4 linked regions of the Macaca mulatta genome follow. The protein of the gene in region 4 interacts with the protein of the main gene of each other region in a pairwise test. Links are inferred from orthologs where the notes say so. Each region holds a gene or a part of one and is shown on either strand. Other genes may lie near its edges. The genes, in order: PPP1CA, NXT1, LONRF1 and STAU1.

Evidence for each region.
Region 1: the proteins of STAU1 (region 4) and PPP1CA interact in a two-hybrid assay, tested with the Homo sapiens proteins (2 studies listed by BioGRID and IntAct). The link is inferred for Macaca mulatta from reciprocal best matches to the Homo sapiens genes STAU1 and PPP1CA.
Region 2: the proteins of STAU1 (region 4) and NXT1 interact in binary tests that used the Homo sapiens proteins (3 or more experiments, as listed by UniProt). The two-hybrid records come from large-scale screens. The link is inferred for Macaca mulatta from reciprocal best matches to the Homo sapiens genes STAU1 and NXT1.
Region 3: the proteins of STAU1 (region 4) and LONRF1 interact in binary tests that used the Homo sapiens proteins (3 or more experiments, as listed by UniProt). The two-hybrid records come from large-scale screens. The link is inferred for Macaca mulatta from reciprocal best matches to the Homo sapiens genes STAU1 and LONRF1.

Annotation. Positions count from the first base shown.
Region 1 is NC_133419.1:6,982,013-6,986,170, reverse strand, and holds the start of PPP1CA (serine/threonine-protein phosphatase PP1-alpha catalytic subunit), read right to left. Parts: upstream 2,801-4,158; 5' UTR 2,725-2,800; coding exon 2,670-2,724; intron 2,144-2,669; coding exon 2,012-2,143; intron 1,863-2,011; coding exon 1,632-1,862; intron 605-1,631; coding exon 500-604; intron 156-499; coding exon 1-155. UniProt on the Homo sapiens protein: Protein phosphatase that associates with over 200 regulatory proteins to form highly specific holoenzymes which dephosphorylate hundreds of biological targets.
Region 2 is NC_133415.1:60,679,405-60,686,080, reverse strand, and holds the start of NXT1 (NTF2-related export protein 1), read left to right. Parts: upstream 1-2,665; 5' UTR 2,666-2,991; intron 2,992-3,087; exon of another isoform or gene 3,088-4,737; intron 4,738-5,912; 5' UTR 5,913-5,973; coding exon 5,974-6,396; 3' UTR 6,397-6,676.
Region 3 is NC_133413.1:13,031,862-13,037,744, forward strand, and holds part of LONRF1 (LON peptidase N-terminal domain and RING finger protein 1), read right to left. Parts: intron 5,298-5,883; coding exon 5,176-5,297; intron 2,760-5,175; coding exon 2,601-2,759; intron 2,491-2,600; coding exon 2,328-2,490; intron 1-2,327.
Region 4 is NC_133415.1:101,926,712-101,932,594, forward strand, and holds part of STAU1 (double-stranded RNA-binding protein Staufen homolog 1), read right to left. Parts: intron 5,136-5,883; coding exon 5,060-5,135; intron 4,824-5,059; coding exon 4,504-4,823; intron 3,976-4,503; coding exon 3,853-3,975; intron 2,285-3,852; coding exon 2,199-2,284; intron 1,295-2,198; coding exon 1,279-1,294; 3' UTR 1-1,278. UniProt on the Homo sapiens protein: Binds double-stranded RNA (regardless of the sequence) and tubulin.

The sequences.
Region 1 (4,158 bases), on a different chromosome or scaffold from region 4:
GGTAAAAGAGACGCCACGGTCGTTCTCGCCCCAGCCCTGCACGTCCTTGTCAGGGTCAGACCACAGCAGGTCACACAGCAGGCCCTGGTCAGGCACGTCTGTGGGCCGCATGATCCGCCGAATCTGCTCCATGGACTGCAGGTCCGGGGAGAGGCCTGGAGGGCCAGAAGGAAGGTCACTTCCTCAAACAAGGACATCCTTCCTCCAGGAAGCCTTGGCCAGTGAGCCTCACCTTTTCCACCACCCTCCTGGTCCCTCCACTGGTCTCCTGGGTGCCTAGGCAGGCAGAAGCCATCCCCTTCCCCTCAGCTTTTTCAAGTTCCCAAACAGGCACAAAGGCGCCCCTGGCCTCCGGAGCACAGAGCTCCTGGGAGAAAGGAGACAAGCCCGCCCCATGTAGGATGCACATCAAGGAAGTGAGTGCAGCCCAGCACAGGGGGGTATGGGAGACACTTCCTGAAAGGAGTGACTTCCCAGATGACAACTAAGGAGAGCTCACCTCCGTGGCAGCAAAAGATCTTTTCGTCCACTATGGCCGCAATGGGCAGGCAGTTGAAGCAGTCAGTGAACGTTTTCCACAGTTTGATGTTGTAGCGTCTCTTGCCTGCCCAGAGGGAGGTAGCTGTGAGGGGTCTGCCTGCTCCACCCTTAGCCGGGGTCTCTGGGCTATTCAGCCGCAGATGGGAGAGAGTCAGGCACCAATGCAAACCACCCCCACCCCTGCCGCCTGTCAGCCTTCCAGGAGTAATTCTAGTTACTTTTTATTTTAATTTGTAATTTAAACAAACAGGATCTGGGCAGGGCATGGTGGCTCACACCTGTAATCCCAGCACTTTGGGAGGCTGAAGCAGGCAGATCACCTGAGGTCAGAAGTTCAAGACCAGCCTGACCAACATGGAGAAACCCTGTCTCTACTAAAATACAAAAAAATTAGCCAGGCGTGGTGTCGCATGCCTGTAATCCCAGCTACTCGGGAGGCTGAGGCAGGAGAATCGCTTGAACCCGGGAGATGGAGGTTGTAGTGAACTGAGATCACACCACTGCACTCCAGCCTGGGCAACAAGAGCGAAACTCCGTCTCAAAAAAGTAAAGAAACAGGGTCTTGTTCAGTCACCCAGGCTGGAGTGCAGTGGCAAGATCATAGCTCACTGTAACTTGGAGCTTCTGAGTCCAAGTGATCTTCCCGCCTCAGCCTCCCACCAGAAGTAATTCTAAAGCACCCGAGTCCACTGGAAACTGAGTTCCAATCTGGACCAGCCTCAGGGTTGGCACTCCTTGCACGCCCCGGCCCACGAGCCGGGCCAAGTACAGGTCTGGTTTATCTCAGCTTCTGGACAGCAGAGCTCATCTGCAAACATCCTAAATGCTTAGTAGCAAATGTAGAGGGAACGTCACCAGGCAGGGCCCTGGGGGAAAGCACTAGAATACGGACAGTCCTTCAGTCAGCAACCATTCCCCAGACCCCATGCCAGGAGGGGCAGGGCAGGCACAAGAACGGACCTGGGCCCTGCCTTCGTGGAGTGCACAGTCTAGCAAGTGTCTGTCAGATATCAGGCCAATGTGAAGGTCCCACTGAATGACAAGGAGTGTGGTTCAGGACCCGGGCAGCCCCAGACGCTCAGACCACTCACACTCATCGTAGAAACCGTAGATGCGGTTGATGCTGGCGCACTCGTGGTTCCCACGGAGCAGGAAGAAGTTCTCGGGGTACTTGATCTTATAGGCCAGCAGCAGGCAGATGGTCTCCAAGGACTGCTTGCCCCTGTCCACATAGTCCCCCAGAAAGAGGTAGTTGCTCTCCGGAGGGAAACCGCCATACTCAAATAGTCGCAGAAGGTCATAGTACTGGCCGTGTATATCACCTGTGACCCAGGGAATCGGGTAAGCTAGATGCAGGGTCTAGACCTGAACCCAGGACCAGGACTGGGCTCAAGGGAGGAGGACTCCAGGAACTCTGTGGGGGCCAGTGCCACTTTCAGGAAAGCAAGGGGACCTGGGTCGGGGGGCTCACCGCAGATCTTGAGGGGTGCCTCCAGCTCCAGAAGAATGGGCTGGCTCAGGAAAATCTCCCGGGATTTCAGGCACAGGCCGCGGATCTCGTTCTCTGTCAGCTGTACATTCTTGCCAGGCCGCGAGCCCTGCACTGGGGGCGCAATGGGGTGTCAAGACCCGGGACCCTGACAGGTGGAGGGTGGGCGACACGGGTGGCCCCATGGATACCTCCGGGGGCGCCTAGGCCTCCTCGGCCGCTCCTTGCCCGCAGGCAGCTGTTGCTGCTGAGCCTCCCGGGACCTCGGCCTCAAGCCTCCCAAGGGAAGCCCCCAACTACCCTCAGCGCCTCGGGAGGCGACTGTCGTGCGCAGGGGGCTGCCACCCAAACACCTCACAGCGCAGGACCCCTTCCTGGACCGGGCTTCCCGGGTTTCTCCCTCGCCTCAAGAACCCAGGCAACCCGTGCGCCCCCGGCCCGGGAGAGGGGGCTGCTCCGCGCGTCGGAGCGGGCCCAGGACCTCTCAGGCGCGTCCGCGGGGGGGCGGCTGCGGCCACCGAACCTCGCGGCCCGTCCCCGCCCAGTCTAAGCTGGCCCCGGGGGCCCGCCCGCGCGCCACTTCCGGGCCCGGCAGGGGGCCCGGGAGCGGCGGACGCAGGCCTCCCCCGCCGCGACCAACCTTCTAGCAGGCGCCCGATGATCGAGTCAAGGTTGAGCTTCTCGCTATCGGACATGGCGGCGCCGCCGCTCCAGCCCAGCAGCTCCGGGCCCGCTCCTGCCTCCCGCCCTCCGGCAGCCTCCTTCCGGCCTGGCTCTCCTTCCGCCCGCCCCAGTCCGCCCCCGGCCCGCGGCCCCGCCTCCGGGCCTCCCGGGCCCGCCCCGCCCGGTCCCCCGCGCTCTAGCGCCCCCGCTGGACGTGAAGCGCCGCGGCCTGGGGGGCGGGGCCTTGGCGGCGGGGTCTGTCGGGGGCGCGTCCAACTGGTTACGCCCCAGAGGAGGCGCCCAGCCCGGTTCAGAGGATGTGGGGCCGGAAGAACTGTGGAAGTTGTTTTTCTCTTTCAAAAGCAGAACAGCCGTTCCCACCCCTGCCCTGGGTGGAGGGTGTTGTGAATATATTAATAACCGGCTGCTAGGCACTGAGGGTTAACTGCTCGAAGTGCAGGAAAGGAAACTGAGGCTCAAGAGATATGAACAGACTGGTGCAAGACCTGGACCTCGCATTCACGTACGACCCCCTTTTTCGTGGGTCTCCGTGGCCCCCAGGCGGCTGACCACACTCAAAGACAGCTACGGCTGAACTTCCAGCGCACTTTGGTCCTTGGGGCATGATAAATTAATATTTTCTTACAAGTCCCATAATTAGCTTTTATTTATTTATTTTTTTTGAGACAGAGTTTTGCTCTGTCGCCTAAGCTGGAGTGCAGTGGCGCGACTTTGGCTCACTGCAACATTCGCTTCCCAGGTTCAAGGGGTTCTCCTGCCTCAGCCTCTGGAGTAGCTGGGATTGCAGGCGCGCGCCACTGCGCCTGGTTTTTGTGTGTTTAGCAGAGGTGGGGTTTCGCCATATTGGCCCGGCTGGTCTTGAACTCCTAACCTCAAGTGATCCACTGGCCTCGACCTCCCAAAGTCCTGGGGGGGTTACAGGCGTGAGCCAACAAGCCTGGCCCCATAATTAGCTTTTGAGTAGCACAGTAATATTGCAGGGTGTGCACGTAAAAAGAATTACTATATGAGCAGACATGGCTGGGTGCAGTGGCTCACGCCTGTAATTCCAGCGCTTTGGGAGGCTGAGGTGGGAGGATCGTTTGAGGTCAGGAGTTCAAGACCAGCCTGGCCAACATGGTGAAACCCCATCTCTCTAAAAATACAAAAAGTTAGCTGGGCATGATGGCAGCCGCCTGTAATCTCAGCTATTGGGGAGGCTGAGGCAGGAGAATCACTTGAACCTGGGAGGCGGAGGTTGCAGTGGGCCAAGGCCCATTGCACCCCCTAGCCGAGGTGACAGTGTGAGACTCTGTCTCAAAGGAGCAGACGATAAATTAACCTTAATTCTTGTTGGAACCCTGAGTTGGGTGCTTTACATGCCAGTAACCTCAGAACTGGAGGTGGGCCTGCTGTGGCGGCTTAGGCCTGTAATTCCAGCACTTTGGGAGGCTGAGGTGGGATGG
Region 2 (6,676 bases), about 41 Mb from region 4:
TAAGTCAAGCCTGGGCGTCAGAGCTGCCAAGGACTCTGCCTGTGTGACCAGATGTGCCCGTCCTCCCCAGACGGACTTCATGCTGCACATGGGACCACTGGCTCCTTGGCTGCTTAAACCACTGGGCTCGTCTTCAGAAGGTGCCCGTGCAATTTGGTGACAAATCCCACCAATTTGTCAATACACTTCTTCCAAGTTTAAAAGCCAGTCATTGGAGGGATTGTTGGCAGATAAGGAAGCTGCTGTAGATGCAAAATGTCAAAGCATGATTCTGCTTTCCTAATGCTTTCTGGATGCTACTTCGTGCTCCGCCCCATATGAAGCACTTAGCGTTGCATTGTTTCCTTCGCTCCTCACGTCAGCCCAAGGAGATGGATTTGACCATTGCCCCTATTCTACAGAGGAGGCAGCTGAGCCCCAAAGAGGTAACTCACTTGCCACAGCCACCCTGCTAATGCTTAAGCCACACTAGTCAAGTTGTAAATAACTTTATGTTTATGCCCAATTTTAAATAGTATAAAAGATAAAAGGGATTTCCTGGCTCTTGAAACTAAAAAGTCCAAACTTGAGGGATGATTTGACTCCCAACATAGCCATCAAGAGCCTGATTTCTTCCCAGCTTTCCTGTCTGCCTCATCATCAAGGGTCTACCACTCAGGGCAGCAAGATGGCTGCAGCAGTGCTATCTACACACCATGGGTCCAGAAGGGAAGGGAGAAAAATATCCTTTCCCAGAATCCCTCAGCAAACACCTCCAGGCTCAATGGCCCTAATTGGGCCTCCCACCACCCTCAGCTGTGCTCAACGCATACAGTGCCAGTTGTATGCCCTTTGGAACCAGGGATGTCTCTGACCTCCCCAAACTCCAGGATCATAGGGGGAATAAAAGCCAGGGTTGCTTCCAAAGAGAGCAGGGAGTGTGTTGAGGACAGATCATCACAACCATGCAGTTGAGGAGCAATGATTTGAACCCAGGCTTGTCTGTTCATTCAGACAGTATTTATTGAGCCCTTGCTATGGGTCAGGCACAACTTTATATGCTGGAGACACAAACCTAAAAGGACCCTAACCTAAAAGGCAGACCCCACAAACCTACAAGGCAGAACAGCTGCCTCTCAAGGCTAAAGTCTCGCATTTTTAAAAGGCCTTGGAGCTTCATTAACGTTCTTCTAACGTCCTAATGTTCTTCTAACTAGCTTTTCTAGGTATGAATTGACCCTGTGACACCAGGATGGTTCTTTGTCAGCCTCTTTGTCTATAAAATCAGAAATAATGGTACCTCCCCCAATAAGTTATGTGAAAGAAATGAAAAGGACTTATTATATATGAAACAAAAGCAGCACAACATCCAAACTACTGAGCGTGCAGTAGATCAACTCTCATTCCCACTTCCATTCCATCCATGCCGATTTAGATCAATCCAAGTATCACTGCCTTGGGGTTCATAAAGTCATTTCAGTTCATAAAGCACCGTAAATGCTCCTTCACCCTCTCTGCTCAGCCTCCAACGTGTCCTTTTAATAATCCAAACTCTCCACCTACTTAACTGAAGTGTGTGCGTGGGGTGGGGGTGAGGGAGCGGGGGGGGGGGGGGGGGGAAGGGGTGGCCTATACTAAACAGCCCAACTGTTTTCAATGTGTCCTGAAATCTGAGACCAAGATTGTCTTAGGAATGCAAGCAAAGGGAGCCGATGGGACGCCAAGAAAGCACAGGTTAAACTACTTCACTTCATCTAGCCCCAGTTCTCTCCTGGCTTTGCAATTAATTTTTCAGCCTCAGACCAGCAGATGGAGCTGAAAATGTTGTCTAAAGAAATGAGGTTTTTCTTTTAATTTACAAGCTACAGTTTCTCAAACCTCCACACTGAATGGTTATATCCTGTTGAGCCTGTTGGTAAAGTTCAGTAAAAATCCAGTCCTCATTCCAGAACAGCTGAAACTTAGCTAGGGACGCGGAATAACAGAATCCCAACTCCTGACGGGCCCGCGTTTCCCGGGACACCTCAGGCCTCAGGGCAGTGGGAAGCCGCCGTCAAGCCCCCGCCTCACCCACGTCCTACCCTCGCCCCAGTCTCCTCCCACTCTTAGCTACATTTCCCATGTGACTAAAACTGGCTTCCTCTGTGTCCACCAGGACATCGCCTCTAAGTGGCTTAAGCTCCTAAGGAGCGCGATCGGCTCAGGCACTCCGCCACGCGCATGCCACAGGCGCGGCCGGCCTTGCCCTCGCTGTGGCCTCAAGCACCGCGGCGCCTCACATGTTGCCATACGGAAGGCCTCGGCGGGGTCAGGCAGCTGCTGCTGGCCGTGACTGCATCAAGTAGTGACGTTTCACGAGCCTTTTAACTGAAATCACTCCAATACAAGGGCATGCGGGACTAGGTGAAAGCACTTCACCCAACCCCACACAACGTCCCCTCCCTCTCCAGCCAAGCGGCCTCCTCGCAGCGGAAAGAACAGCGAGGATCTAGGGGCGGGACCTGAGAGGTTTGGCCCAATCAGGGATCCCACCTAACCAGACGGGCCGGGGTCTGTGACCCTGTTGGGCCAATAAAAACTCGACGGCGGATTTGCCGGGGTTTCTGGGAAGGTGACACTCCCGGAAGCTACCACCTCTTATAAGCCACACACGGGCGGAGATAGCCTTCCGGCTCGCAGTCCCACTGGCTAACCTCGCTGCCCGTCACGGGAATGCGAGAGGGGGCGGGGCCGGAGCGCTCGCGTCTGCGCGGAGTCCGGCTAGCAGCGCGCGGGAAGCCGCGGAACTGCGCCGGAAAGTCCCCAGGCTGTGGGGCCCCGGTGACCCGGAGTAAGCCTCCAAGAAGGAAGAGGAGGGAAGAAAGGCGGCTCTTCCCGTGCCCCTACCCGAGGCCTCGGTGGGCCCACCCTGTGACCTCCGCGGCCGGCCCCTCGGTGGAGCTGCGGCCCGCGCGGGGGGCATCGCGACCGTGGGCGCCGCGGCCCGCGCTGACCCTGGACGTCGCCGCGCAGGTAGGTTGCAGTCCCCCCGGCGGTCTGACCCCGGAGACAGCCTCTCGTGCATACCCCACGCCCTCCTCCATTGTCGGGAATAAGACACGGCTGTACCTTTGTCCACGTGGTAGAGTTGCCTCTCTACTGTGCAAAACGCGTGGCAGCGAATTCTCTTCAATGAGGAGAGGCGCGTCCCCTCGCAGAGCAGCTCTCGGGTCTGAGGAGGGCAGGGCAGGGCGTGCGTCTGTCTAGGTTTGAATTAAAGGCGACTCGCAGGAAATAAGACCATGCCACTGTGGTAGCTTCTCCCGTCCAGCTCTGGACATTCGACGGTGCGGGCCGTGGGAGGAGGCGGCGATCTTCACAGCCTCTTACTCCAGTCCTCAAGGTCTGGTTCTTTTTCTGATTTGACGCAGCGGGGCTGACAGCCCCATAGGTAACTGAGAACCAAAAGTGGAGATGGTCCTTCTATGGAGTGTGGGGGCGTGGCCAATTGTTAGATTGTGTTTGGAAGGACAGCCAGGGGCGGGGAAGAGGGGCATTTCTGAGATGATGGGGGGACTGGTGCCATGGAGGGAAGAGGAGTGAGGTGGAGATCGGGAATTCCAGCCAAAGAGAAATGGGGTCCTGGGAGAAAATTCCCACTCCGGCAGTCCTGGAGTTGTCCTCATGGAGACTTGCTTACGCGAGTAAAAGGACAGCATCGTCTTGACAAAATTTCAGCCCTCAGTCTAGTCTTGTAAATGATAGATCAGGAATGCTCTTAACCGTCATTACCTTGATCCAGCCCTAGGTTTCCCTTTTCTCATTTGTAAAATTGTTATAGTAATACCTTTTTCATTCATTTGTGGTGACATTTAAATGAGGTAATATATGTGAAGCTCTTAGCAAACACAGCGCTGCTTCTTCGTGGGTTCCGCGTGGGGTGGATTCAACCAACCTCAAATCAAAAATACTCTTCAGAAAAAGAAAAATGCCTTTGTACTGAACATGTAGAGGCTTTTTTTTCTTGTCATTATTTCCTAAACTATACAGTATAACAACTATTTACATCCCTTCTACATTGTATTAGGTGTTATAAGTTACCTACAGGTGATTAAGGTACATAGGAGGATGCTGCGCATACGTTGTATCAAACAGTACACCGTTCTATCAGGGACTTCAGCATCAGCAGGTGTTGGTATCCTCGGGGGTCCTGAATCCAGTTCCTCACAGATACCGAGGGACCGCTGTACTTAGTTCAGAGTACAGTTGAGGCTTCACTTTGAGGTCTGTGGAGGGCGTGGAAAGACCCAGGTCTGAAATTGGCTCTTAACTGCTCATTTTTAGGACAGCTTCCCTCCCAGCCAGCCCTTTACCAGAGGCAATGCACCACCTTTGCAGCCGTTATAAGAACCTGGCTCTTTCCAGCCCTATGTGGAATGTTTTATCGCTTTCATAAGCTAATCATTTAAAAAAAAGGTCTTTTTTTGAAATGAAAAAAAAAAAAATCACTATTTAAGTTTGTAAGTATAAACTATTTTAGTAATGTCCTCTATTTTAGTAATCCAGTATTTTAGTAATGTCTTCTATTTTAAGTGAAATATTTTAATTATGGAGAAAATAACATAACAGTTGTACCTGTACCCTGAAAAAAGTAAATGTCAATTTTTTTTATGCTTTTTACTTTTTTATTGGGGGGACAGTGTGACATTTCAGCTATAGTACACATTCTGTGCCCACACACCCAAGAACTTTGAAATTTAACATGTCTTTCTGTGGAGGCACTGTGGCTCCACAGGACTGATGTGGTGGATATTAGTACCTATGTAAGCTGGGTGTCCTCCCTTCTAATCCCCACTCACCCAAGAGGTTTGCTGCTTCCAGCTTACCATGGGGATTATGGCTGCCATTTTGGTTCTGTCCTCATGTCATTTGTGTTTCTACCCTCTTAAGAAACCTGCCTTCTCTGCCCTCCTGGTTCCTCTTGAGTGAGCTCCATGATAGACTTTCCCAGACTCAGCAGCTGACGAGCATTTCGTTGGTTTGGTTGGCCTTTATTGAGCCAGTGACCACTCTTCCCTTCTAAATGGTCCACTGTCTTTACCAAGGGGCAGTCATGTCTGTTGCAAGCATTCAGGAAAGAGTGGCCTTCCATAGTCAAATGTACTCTATTTTATAAAGTGTGATTTAAAAAATTAATGGTCCAGTCAGCCCTCCTCATCCTCTGGGAATTGATTCCAGCAGTCCCCCTACCCCTGCAACAGACCAAATCTGCTGATGCTCCAAGTCCTTGATATAAAATGGCGTTAAGGCCAGGCACGGTGGCTCATGACTGTAATCCCAGCACTTTGGGAGGCTGAGGCGGGCAGATCACCTGAGGTCAGGAATTTGAGACCAGACTGGCCAACATAGCGAAACCCTGTCTTTACTAAAAATACAAAAATTAGCCAAGCGTGGCGGTGGGCACCTGTAGTCCCAGCTACTTGGGAGGCTGAGGCAAGAGAATCCCTTGAACCTGGGAGGTGGGGGATTGCAGTGAGCCGAGATCACGCCACTGCACTCCAGCCTGGGTGACAGAGTGAGACTCAGTCTCAAAAACAAAAACAAAATGGCATAGCACAGTCAGCCCAATATATTTGCAGGTTTCGCCCTGAGGTTGCTTGAATCTGTGGATGCAAAACCTTCAGATATGGAGTGCTGACTATAACTAAATGTTTTTAACTAAACACAATGTATACTGTCTCAGTTTGCCACAGTGGTAATCCCATCTTAACAATGAGCAAACTGAGGCTTAGTAAAATTAGACATTTAGGTGTTGGGTACTATTTGAGCCTACAGTCATTGTTCTGCAGTCTGTAACTATTTTGCCAGTAGTAGAAAAGGAGGAATGTTCCATTGTCAGGGCAGAATGAACTTTGGCATTCACATGGGTTCTCTTCAACCTTACTTCCCTGCAGTCCCTGATTCCCCAAGGCAGAGGAAATACCCTGGTGGAGCCCTTCTCCCATAGAACCAGAAATGGCATCTGTGGATTTCAAGACCTACGTGGATCAGGCCTGCAGAGCTGCTGAGGAGTTTGTCAACGTCTACTACACCACCATGGATAAGCGGCGGCGTTTGCTCTCCCGCCTATACATGGGCACAGCCACCCTGGTCTGGAATGGCAATGCTGTTTCAGGACAAGAATCCTTGAGTGAGTTTTTTGAAATGCTGCCTTCCAGCGAGTTCCAAATCAGTGTGGTAGACTGCCAGCCTGTACATGATGAAGCCACACCGAGCCAGACCACAGTCCTTGTTGTGATCTGTGGATCAGTGAAGTTTGAGGGGAACAAACAACGGGACTTCAACCAGAACTTCATCCTGACCGCCCAGGCGTCACCCAGCAACACAGTGTGGAAGATCGCAAGTGACTGCTTCCGCTTCCAGGATTGGGCCAGCTAGTGGGGGTGGCAGAGGTCTCTGCTTCATTCAGCCCTAGCTCTGTAGAGAAATGCAAACCTCAACTCTCAAGGATATGAGGAACACAAGTTCATTTCTGTTGTTGCGGAGACACTGCAGACTCCACTGTGCTGAGGTTGAACTCTTTTTTTGTTGCTCAAGTTCTAGGAGTCCCTTTCCTGAATATATACTTGTTTGTGATAGTTTCCTTTTCAAAGTAGTAAACTTTTCTATTTTTCTACTTGCCCAGTAGAGACTCTGATTCTGGAAATTCTGACAAATA
Region 3 (5,883 bases), on a different chromosome or scaffold from region 4:
TCATCCATCTTATATTGATTTCTTTAATGCACACTTACATCCCACTTGCTACGTGCCAGGTCCTGCTCTGTCTCATATGCACAAACTCATCTGAAAAAATACCAGGCCTGACTCAGCCTTTCATACTTCAAGGATGACTCATATAAAAACAACAAAGGGACTCCGAAAACATTTTGAAACATAAAAATGAGACTACAGCACACCAGAGACTAAAAGGCATACTTTTTACTTCGGAAAGATGTGAAGTGAAAACTAAAACTAAAGTTTAAAGAGCATCTGCTTTTTGCATAACAATGTGACTATACTTAATGCCACTGAAGTGTGCACTTAAAGATGGTTAAAATGGTATATTTTATGTATATTTTACCACAATAAAAATAAACTTTTAAAAAAGGTAGAGGAGCCACACAATTGAAGAATTGTGGCCCTGAAATGACTACACAAGATTTGGGCCGTTGCTAACATACACTGACAGGAGCAAGAAACAAAACTTACGACTTGTTTAATCTTTTTTTTTTTTTTTTTAAGCATCTACTCTGCACCCTCACAAAATTCAAGAAAACAAATGACAGGCTCTAGTAAACAAGCAATGATAACAATTATAAGAGTCTGTGATGACAAACGGAGCTGGCCAAAAAGCAGGCAGAGACTTTAAAAGCGTCTCTGCCTGCTTTTTGGCCAGCTCCCTTTTAAAAGCAAGCTTTTAAAGTCAAAGTACTTTACTGTGATAATTTTAACAGATTTTAAAATTTCATTAGAAGTCACAGAAAACAGAATTATTATAAGAAGAGGAAAATTTGCTATAAAAAACAAATCTGAGAAGGTTTTCCAGAATGGACAAGAAAATCACTATATAGATGAAGACATTATGATGAGGAAAAATTACTGGACATTCCGAGGACCACAAAGAGGACTCAAGTTTATAAATAATTTATAATTATAAAAAAATTTATAAAAAAAATTTATACAAGTTTATAAATATCAAATCTGTGATACTTTTAGAATGTGATTCCATTGCCTACATGTTTATAAGTATTAATACATATAGTCATGTAATTTAGCCATATACTCAAGTGATTTTGTCATCAAATCCAATATGTGAAGATATAACTTTACATGAAACTGAAATAGGGTTATTAACTTTACAAAGGAGAACCTTTAGCAAGTGATTCCATTAATTAAGTATGCTTAAGGTTGGCACAGATTATACCAATCAACTCAAAATTTCAACTTACACAATACTTTTGGCCAACTGCACAGGGCAAAGTACCCCAATGCATTTTTATAATAAGATAGGACAGCCAATGTCAGACTAATCAGGTTTATCAGCAGAGAGCCAAATGGCATAATGCTAAAGCTCAGAGCCTGAGTCAGAGAGTTTGCTTTAATCATTTTTGTTACATTATAGGATCTTAGGCAAATTAATTAACACCTCTGAATTATACTTTCCTCATAGAGTTGTGAAAATTCTATGAGTTAATGTTTGTGAAAATACCTAATGCCAATATCCAATAAATGTTGACTGAAATGAAGGGCCTAAACAGATCAATGAACAAGTGACGGGATAAGATCTGTTTTTATAATGCCTTTCCAAAAGAAATTGCCTTCAATTTGGTATTTATAGCATCACAAGTCATTTTTCTGGTTCCTAAACTAACTGCAGTAGGTAAACTGGGTATTGCAAACATCAAAAGGGCCACATTAACCCTATTCTAGAAAGACATCACAAAACCGCTACCCTGCTAAGATATCACCAACATGTACACTGACAGTGCTTTCTATGTCTGCCCCAGGGTCTTCACACAGCATTCAACTCTATTTTATCATTAAGGTTATCTTAGGCACAAGAACAATCTGAGTATATAAAACAATTCTTACAAGACTTGATGTGTTTACATTTACATGAAGTTTCAATCTACTAATTCCATCAGCTTCAACTACTAATACATTCAATAAAACAGGGCAGAAATGTAAACCTTTCAAAACTTAGATGGGCTGGAAGTTCAACTTAACCACTATTAAGTACCTATCATGTGTATACACACATGCACATGTGTACATATACACATACATTCTAGGGCACTGGGCTGGTTGTTAAGCCTGTAGAAATAAAGAGAATCTATGTTCTAGTCTTCCAAGTTCTCTCAGAATGTGCAACAACTGCAGAGCAAGATACGAAAAAGGTAACTTGGAGCGCATTCTCAACAGTGGTAAGGCTCTCTGATAAGAAGAACTGGTTCATGCGCCTAGAAAATAGCCTGCATGCCTGTACCAATCCCTGGAACAGGATACACTAAAGTATGCTGGCAAAGCATATTTTAAAATACCTTAACATCTTCCAGATATTCAATGTCGGCAGTGCAATATCCATCTTTCATTCCTCTTTTTAAAACCCTAAACCGCTTTCCTCCAACTGTATCAACCACAGACCTTCCATCAGGTAAGAAATGCACATTTCTAATTTGTAACATACAACCATAATCTGCAAAACTAAAAGAAAACCTTGATTAGTAACAAAGTGGAAACATAAACATGCAAGTTCTCATCCATATTGACAGGTCTAACATAAATACAAATATTTTAGTTCACAAAAAGCATACCTATTTTGTGTATCACTGACACACATGCCAAACTGTTTGGTTCCAGTCTGTATACTTCTTCGAATCATCAATCTATATCTTGGCTCAAATACATGGAGAGGGCAAGGCACAGTGGGGTAGGCCATAGTGCAAACAAATATTGGAACATTCTTGGTCAAGCTGAGGGAAAAACAGTTTAATTATTGAGTTCATACAAGAAAAATATTACCAAACACACACAAAAAATGAGTGAGGTTTATAACAGTAATGAACTAATGTAAAACAAAAAAAGAATAAGTTCTAAATAAGGTGGTTTTTATTCTTGGCAAGAACAAGAATCAGCACCCCGTTCATTAAGCTCACACTGATGAAATATTAATACTAAAAATCTGCTGTGATCCTCTTACTTATAAATTGAATTTTAAGACACCAGATTATCTTACAGAGCTAAGTATCTTTATGAATCAATTTATTATAATATTTTATATTAAAATCTGTTTAAATATTTATAACATATGACAATAAATATCTTTTATCCAAACACTTATAGTTACTCTTAGATAACAGTAAGAAAAAGTGAACTCCCACAACAGACAAAAAGCAAATAATTAAAAATTCTTAGGCATTAAAGTATTTTCAAACGCAAGATCAGAAAACATATTCTGATGAGATAACATTTTTTCCAAGTAATTAAAATGATATAACATTTTTCATTGCCAGAGTGGTAGAAAGAAAGAGAAGGATAAAGGCAATGCCCAGTCCTGTCTTAGATATGGGAAAACTGGCAGCATGGGGGCAGTCTGAAACAGCACAGGCACACTAAAGAACATGGCTACAGAGAGCAGAAACCTTATGTTGTTGGCAGGAAATGTTCATGTTCTTGGAACCAACCAGCTTATTTTCAGACATGAGTGGACAAGTGCTACATGAATGTTCACTGTAGCAATATAGGTAGTAACCAAAATGTAGAAGCATAAAGAGGAGACTAGTAAGATCAATTATGGTACATCGGTAAAACAGAATACTATGTTTCCATTAAAAGATGATGTGTATGAACTGAATTAGAAGAAATGCTTATATCAATGAGAGGAACAGGTTTTAGATATAGATCATGAATAACATGATCCCACCTTTGTTTAAAGCCTGTTTATACATACTGCATTCAAGTTTGGAAATACGTATGTCAAAATGCCAATAGTTGATTCCCTTTGGGTTGCAGATTATGGCTTTTTTTAAAATGCTCATTTGTATTTTTGAGTTTTTTTCAAAATGACCATCAATTACTTATATACACATAAGATGAAACATGTTTAAAATATGTATTTTAAAAAACAGCCTCGTTAGTAAGCAGCTGGACACCCTGACGCTTCTCTTCTCTCCAACACGCAGCTCTCTGTGTGCGACTCCCTCCTCTGTCCTTTGAGTCTACCACTCCTCTGTGGGCGGGCTGGTTGTGTCACTGTGTTTAAATTTGCAAAAGTCAAACTGCAGCTTTCTTAAATCTAGATGCTTCAGCATTGATCAGAAAGGTTCATGATTGTCACATCAGAGTATTTTGTAAATCACACAATAAAATACCAATTCTGTAAGAAGACAAATCAATATCTATTTCTATAAAGAAAAGAGTGGCAATCTTTCTTCTACGAGGGCCCCTGGCTCACTGAAGACATCTGATGGACACAGGTTGAAAAAGGAGAGTCTACAAGCACAGCTTTTGTTAGAAAGTGACATATAAAATGTTCAATTTATATTTTGAAAAGTAATGGAAACAAAAAGTTGTTAAATAAATAAAACAGCATACAAAAATTATAATTTTGCTTTTTAGTGTGTTCAATTAAAAGAGAGTAAAAGAAATAAAGAAATTTAAAACCCATGAATAAAATTTAAAGAGACCCAAGTGACTGGTCAGAGGGAAAGACATTTAGGGAAAAGAAAGGGAGAAAAATGGGAAAGAAAAACAGAAAAGAGACAACGAGCAATGCCTTGCCCTGCCTACCCAGCTCCATCAGCTGCTGTGTTCTCTGCGGAGTGGTCTGAATTACCAAATCCCAAAGTTACCTCTGAGATTTTCACCCTCCCGACACCAACTCAGTTGTGCTCCCAGTCAGTATCTTCATTAAGGGAGGATTTGGCCCTGAACACCTCTCTTCCAATTTCAATCTCAGATCTCAAAGTTTGGAAAGCCCCTTCCGGGCCTCCATGTGACAGAAAATCCCCTGCCAATCTAGGTTACTGACCCTAGACCTTCCTCTCGCCCTACTATGACACATGAGAGCTGCCATCACCACCAATGTCACTGTCACTGGCGCCCCCTCTCTATTTCCCATTCCACTGCCTGATGGCACTGTAGGAAATTCCTCCTCCGCCTAAAATACTGCTTCAGCCCACAGAGCTGAGTCAACCACTCCCTGTAAAACATCCGGATGTTACCAAGTGAACTTTTATAAAATTCTGTCTGTTGAGGACCACAGAAACTGACCAGTACTTCTTGACTAGACTGAGATGAACTACAGACAGGATCCAGCTTGCGGTGAGGTTTTCCCTTACTATTAAAGGGTAGTAGTTCATAATTTTTTTTTTATGAGAAGAAACTTACTGTGAGAGTTCAGCAGTTTCTTCATCATATATTTTTTTTCTCTCAGACAGTTCATCAGGCAGATACTTCACTATTAATTCTTCCAACAGCTGTGTGACACAGTACCTCCTATCTGCTAGATACTAAAAGACAATATTATTTTACATTCCAGCAGTGGTTTTCCTACAGTATAAAACAGGCAACACAGTTAACTGATATATTAAAGCCTTTATTACATATTTATACCATCAATTCTGGATTAATTAGTGAGGGGAACATTACAATGGATGATGCTAAGCAAAAAAACCTGTCTAAGGCTTTGCTCAAGAGCATTAAAGATAGTTGGCTGCAACCTGAACCAAGTCCTGTACAGAAGAACTGCTTCCTGCTGTGACCACAGCTCCTCTATGAGCTGCAGAGGGCCCTGCCCCGCTGTCTTCCATAACAGAGGCCCTTTTCCATCTGACAGCTCATGGGCACTAAACTGTCATTTTAACTGAGATACAAAAAGGAGATAAGGAATAAATAAAATAACACATTTGCCTTATATAAGAAAAGCAAAACATCTGTTCTGTTCCCAGTTTCAGACACAGTCTCTAGATAATTTTTCTTTCAGATTTTTCTTCCATTGTCACCCACTACTGAGTAGAGGAGTGGACCTCGACTCTGTCCTTGAGTGACCCAAGGACGGTGCGTTTCTTGGGACACTATCACTCAGACCTTATCAAG
Region 4 (5,883 bases):
GTAAACAATGAATGGAAGCAGTACTTAACTCGCAGGGCTACCAGGCTTTCCATATGGACCACACGCAGAGCCTCAGTGCACACACTTCTGTGTACAATAACACAACATCAAAAGCAACACAGCTGTATAGAGAAATGTAGGTCATTCTTTTCAGCCCTAATGGAGATGTAATTAACAGTATCGAGCACTCTGGAAAATCAGTCTGCAGGTTTATATGGACTACATGGAGATCATATCCTGTAGTGTAGTGAAAGCTAAGTCCTCAAGAGCTGTATGTATAGATACACAATTTTTTTTAATAATCTTTAAAACAGAGATCAAAGTTCATTTAAGTCCTGTTTGCATTAACAAAAATAAAAAAGAAATAAAAATGGAACCAAATGATCATCTAAAGTTTAAAATTCCTAAATTGTCCAATTTATACAACTGTGGGAGACTTATTCAAGGTTTTTGAAAGTCCAGGACTGTTTCAGCAGAACCAGAGGGCACACAATTTGCATCACTGAAATTGTCCTGGGTTAGTCAATTAAATAAAAATATCTAACCACATACACATGGATATGATCTTTGTCGGTTAGATTATTGATAAAGTCAGTCTCAGACAAGTTTCCAAACTGTGCTATATAACTAGATACAATTGAGAAACTCTCAAATGAAAATTTTATATAGTGTCATATCAATCAAAAGAAAATAATGAAACTAAGAATACAGATCACTGTTGGAAGATAAAGCAGTGGTGATGGTGTGGGTACTGCAGGAGGTGGTGGGGCCATAGCACGCTAGAAAAGTTGGGTCACGCTGAGTAGGAAGCATTTGATTTTCTCTGGTGCTTTTAGCTCTGGGGCCGGTCAAAGGCCTCTCTCTGGCATGGCTGTCCAGGGTTTGTCCCAATGTGTCTGAGTGAGCCAGCCTGAGAAAGGGTCATGCTGTTTCTTCTTTCACACAGGGGGAAAAAAAGACCAAACACGGAGGTGCCCAGGGTGTGGATCTGCTGGTGTCCCGGGAGAACCAGCTGGCTGGGCAGCCCTTCTTCCCCACAGGCAGCTGCTATTGCATAGGGACCACCAGGTCACCGAGTGGCCGTCACAACCCCAGCACAGTCCAGCCCGGCCACAGCCGCCGCCTCGTGTCTGTTGTCTTCCCTGCTGCTGCCCACATCCTTTACCCACCGTGTCTCTCGGCCCACTGGAGGTATCAGAAATTCCAAATTTTCAAAGCAGTTTCAGTATTTTCAGTATATATGTTGGGATTTTTTAATGGTTCATGGCCAGAAAAGGTTCAGCACCTCCCACACCTTTAAGGAAGAAAAATGAAAATGATGCTAGTTTTGAAATGTAAGAGAATTAAAGTACTATTAAAAATGAAAAGAAATTGGCAAGCATCAGGAAGTACAATATACAATACTAAAAGCCCCAGTTTATGATAACAAAAGTTTTCCCAGGATATGCCAGTAAATAAAATAAGCAAGGAGAGTGTGTGTATTTGCTATCTCTGCGGGGGGAAAGGAAGAAAATGAGGGAAGAAATATATGTCTATATTTGCATAAAGAAACATACAGGAAAGATACAGGAGAAACTAGTAAAAATGTGATCTATGGGGGAGGCAGTGGGAAGAATAGGAGGGATGGGATGGGGGCTGTCTGAGGAGAAGATTGTACCTTGTAAAATAAAAGAGAGCTCTGACCATGTGAAGGTATGACTGACTCAAAAAGGTAAAAAGGTTTTTTTTGTTGTTGAGACAAAGAGTCTTGCTCTGTCGCCTAGGCTGGAGTGCAGTGGTGCTATCTTGGCTCACTGCAACCTCCACCTCCCAGGTTTTAAGTAGTTCTCTGCCTCAGCCTCCCGAGTAGCTGGGATTACAGGTATTTGCCACCACACCCAGCTAATTTTTGTATTTTTAGTAGAGACAGGGTTTCACCATCTTGGCCAGGCTGGTCTTGAACTCCTGACACCTCATGATCCACCCACCTCGGCCTCCCAAAGTGCTGGGATTACAGGCGTGAGCCACTGTGCCCAGCCTCAAAATGTTTTTTAAAAGTAGAGCTCTCTGCCCAGAGAATTTGGAAACCTTTCAGGCAAAAGGGCCAGAAAGTAACTCAGGCAAATATTTCCCCGCTGAGTCAGCAGATGGTGTGAACTCAACACAAACGAGGGGCAGCCTCCCCATCATCAGTGCCTCCCCTTCATCAGTGCACTCACACAGACATTGGTCCGTTTCCTGTTCTTGGCATCTCTGTACTTTGTTGGTCCAACTCAGACAGCAACTTTAAGATGTTCAGCGCAGCCTAGTGGGGATGGAAAGAAGAGTAAAGCCACAGCCATCACTTGGGACCACAGCATGATACACTGGTTAGGCAGGCAAGAGTTCCTGCTGCCCAGCAAACAGGTGGCAACTTCTTAAACTCTTGTACTACTAAATAAAACTTTGAATTTTTAATTTAAAATACAAATTTAAAAAATACTCAGTTACCTCATTGAATCATAACCTCTGAAAATGTTGTATTTTGCCTTCTAGTATTTTTAGCCTTGTGGTAACCAGACTGTATAAATGTTATATCCTGCTTTCTAACAAAAATCTATCATGTATTTTTCTTTCTACAGAGACAGGGTCTCACTAAGTTAAGTTGCCCAGGCTGGGCTCAAACTCCTAGGCTCAAGCGATCCTCCCAAAGTGCTGGGATTACAGGTGTAAGCCTCCACACCCGGCCTATCATGTATTTTTCTTATTACGTTATCTTCAGAGACACTGTTTTGTTGTTTTGTTTTGAAACAGAGTCTCACCCAGTTGCCCAGGCTGGAGTGCAGTAGTGCGATCTTAGCTCACTGCAACCTCCACCTCTTGGGTTCAAGCGATTCTCCTACCTTGTCTCCCAAGTAGCTGGGATTACAGGCGCCCACCACCACACCTGGCTAATTTTTTTGTATTTTTAGTAGAAATGGGGTCTCACCACATTGGCCAGGCTGGTCTCGAACTCCTGAGCTCAGGTGATCCGCCCGCCTCAGCCTCCCGCAGTGCTGGGATTATAGCGTGAGCCACCGCACCCCACCCAGAGACATTAATTTCATGCATGCATGATGTCCCATCAAGTAAATACACCACAGTTTGCTTAGATTTGTTAATCTGATCAATTCCTTTTCTGAGTTTTCTTTTTTTTTTTTTTTTTTGAGACTGAGTCTTGCTCTGTCGCCCAGGCTGGAGTGCAGTGGCCGGATCTCAGCTCACTGCAAGCTCCGCCTCCTAGGTTTACGCCATTCTCCTGCCTCAGCCTCCCAAGTAGCTGGGACTACAGGCGCCCGCCACCTCGCCCGGCTAGTTTTTTGTATTTTTTAGTAGAGACGGGGTTTCACCGGGTTAGCCAGGATGGTCTCGATCTCCTGACCTCGTGATTCACCCGTCTCGGCCTCCCAAAGTGCTGGGATTACAGGCTTGAGCCACCGCGCCCGGCCCCATCTCAGTTTTCTTATAACAGTAATTTCATCTGAATAGAACACCAAAGCAAGTGGTTTTTACAGCTGCCAGAACATGGACCTGCAGTTCCTTGTTCTGGTGAGAGAGGAAGTGAGTGCAGTCTCCAGGTGAGCTGCAGGATCCCAGTCGCCCCTCCAGACCAGCAGGGAAAAGGGAAAGGTGGACTAAAGCTGATGAGTTCTGATCAAGAGTGAGAAATCAATCCAAGCAGTTATGACAAAAAGTCTTAAAAAATATGAACACTATCAAAGAATTAATTGTTCTCAAAGTCTATGGGAGAATCTTTCTCCCACATTCCTCAGGCTAGTAACAAGCTGAACCAAGGCAGGCTCCACATAAACACACAACTTAACACCCTAATCCCTCACCCAAGGTGTGACATACCATATCATGGCAGGACTCCACATCCTTGCCGATACCATGGCTGATCAGAGGTGGCTGAGAGGAGCAATTGATAAGAGATACAAATTCGTTCTTGTTGTTTTTGGGGAAGTCTTTGTATTCAACCTAAGGAGGAAAAGAGAGCTGAGGTTAGGTAGGGTAGGGAACAGCAAGTATGAGTGGGCTGAAGGGCTACAGCTCCGGGCCCCACAAGCAAGGAGATCACCCGCTCTTCTCTCCAACTCAGCCTGACTGTGGCTATACCAAGACCTGCTCTGTCAGCCCAGAACCTTCCAGGAACCTAGGTGTCTGCTCAGAAGCCCTAGACTGGGAGAAGCCATATCCTTTCCCACCAGGCAGAAGGTGTCAGCATGATGAGTCCGTTCTTTGAAATCCAAATTTACAACACTGCAAGTGGTTAGAAGCTTTGTTTTTAGGGTTGGCTTGCATTTTGAAATATTACTAAAGGATAAAGATGTTTCTCTTACCACATATGCTTACAATACTTCTATACCTCCTTCCCTGCCACCCTTCCACCACTGCTCCCCAACCCATCCCTGATTTAAGAAACAAAGTCCAAAGTTCATTTTCTGAGAGAAGCCAAAGGATGACTGTCCTGAGGCACAGCCATCACAGCTCAAGCCTGACAGTTACCTGGAATCCCTGGACTCTGGAAAGATAGTCCAGTTGTTCAGAGGGTCTCGTGAGAGGTCCATGGGGTACGTGGCCTGAAGAGATGTTATTCTTTAAAATGGTCTCGGCTGTGGGCGAGGTGCCCCCATACAACAACTCTCGGGCTATCATGGCAGTTACCGTGGCCTTGGCAGGATTTGGAGCTGCCCTGGTAAAATCTTTGGTGTGATGTCCTTGACTAACTCCTACAGCCTGGGCGACCTCGGGCACCATGGGAAGAATTCCAGCAGGCAGCTGCTGATGACTTAGGTAAGGCATCCTGAACTCATCCTCTTTATTACCTGGGAGGGACACACACGGTAAACACGAATCCACATCCACAGCCTGGAAAAACGCGATGACACCATCAAACCCCACGCTGGCCCTCCCCTTGCCATGCATGGCGGCGCAGGGAATCGGGGAATGATACAGACACTTTGCATGCAGGACCTCACTGGCTGGACTCCTGCTGTCATTCAGGACCCATGCAAATCCCAGAATCACGTTCAGAGGAAGATGATATTAAGATCACACTTACTAGTCCCATTTTCATCCCCAGAGCCAGGTTCAAAAAAGGTTACTTTTCTTCCATCCCCTGGTTTCTTTATGGGTGTCTTAAAAAAGAAACAAACAAACAAACAAAAAAAAAGGCATGAGCATAAATCAGATCATTGAAAAATTAGCTCCTGCTGTCTAAACCTGCATAAAATCCAATCAGCAATAACTGAGGCAATCGGCAGAAAAACCCTGCCCCACCTGACCACTGGCACGCTGACAGACACCTGGGCAGAGCCTGCCTCCTTCTCCTAACGCACCCTCCTGCCCACACCCCTGCCCACAAAGAGCATCTAACAAAGTGCACTAACCTGTGAATGCTGAGCTGCACTCTGCACCCACAGGAAGACGGGAAGCATTTAACCAGAAAGAGCAGAGATGCTAGACGGTAGAGCCCACCAAAGTGGGGAAAGAAGCTTTCAGACTGAAGCTAAACAAATAAATCAAGAATATTTCCTGGAGCTGATATCCAATTAAAAAATAAGGTGACATTCCAAAATTAACACCCTTATGGGGAAAATGTTATTACCTAAGAATTCTGTCAAACACTACCTCACCTTTCTACGAAGTAACAAAGGACACTATGAATGTCCTATAAGATTCTGAAATGAAAAACTCAAAATCCAAGTCTAAGATCTATACTGGTGGTATCTGGGGTCTCAGTCAGTTATTAACTGGCCACGACTGAAGCTGTTTCTCACTGTCAATACGACTGGCAGACATCAATGAATTAGGCTTGATTTCAAGTTTATCTCACCAGGACCATACAGTGACGGGAAAGAAGATCAGCCTTGGCTTTTGCCGAGG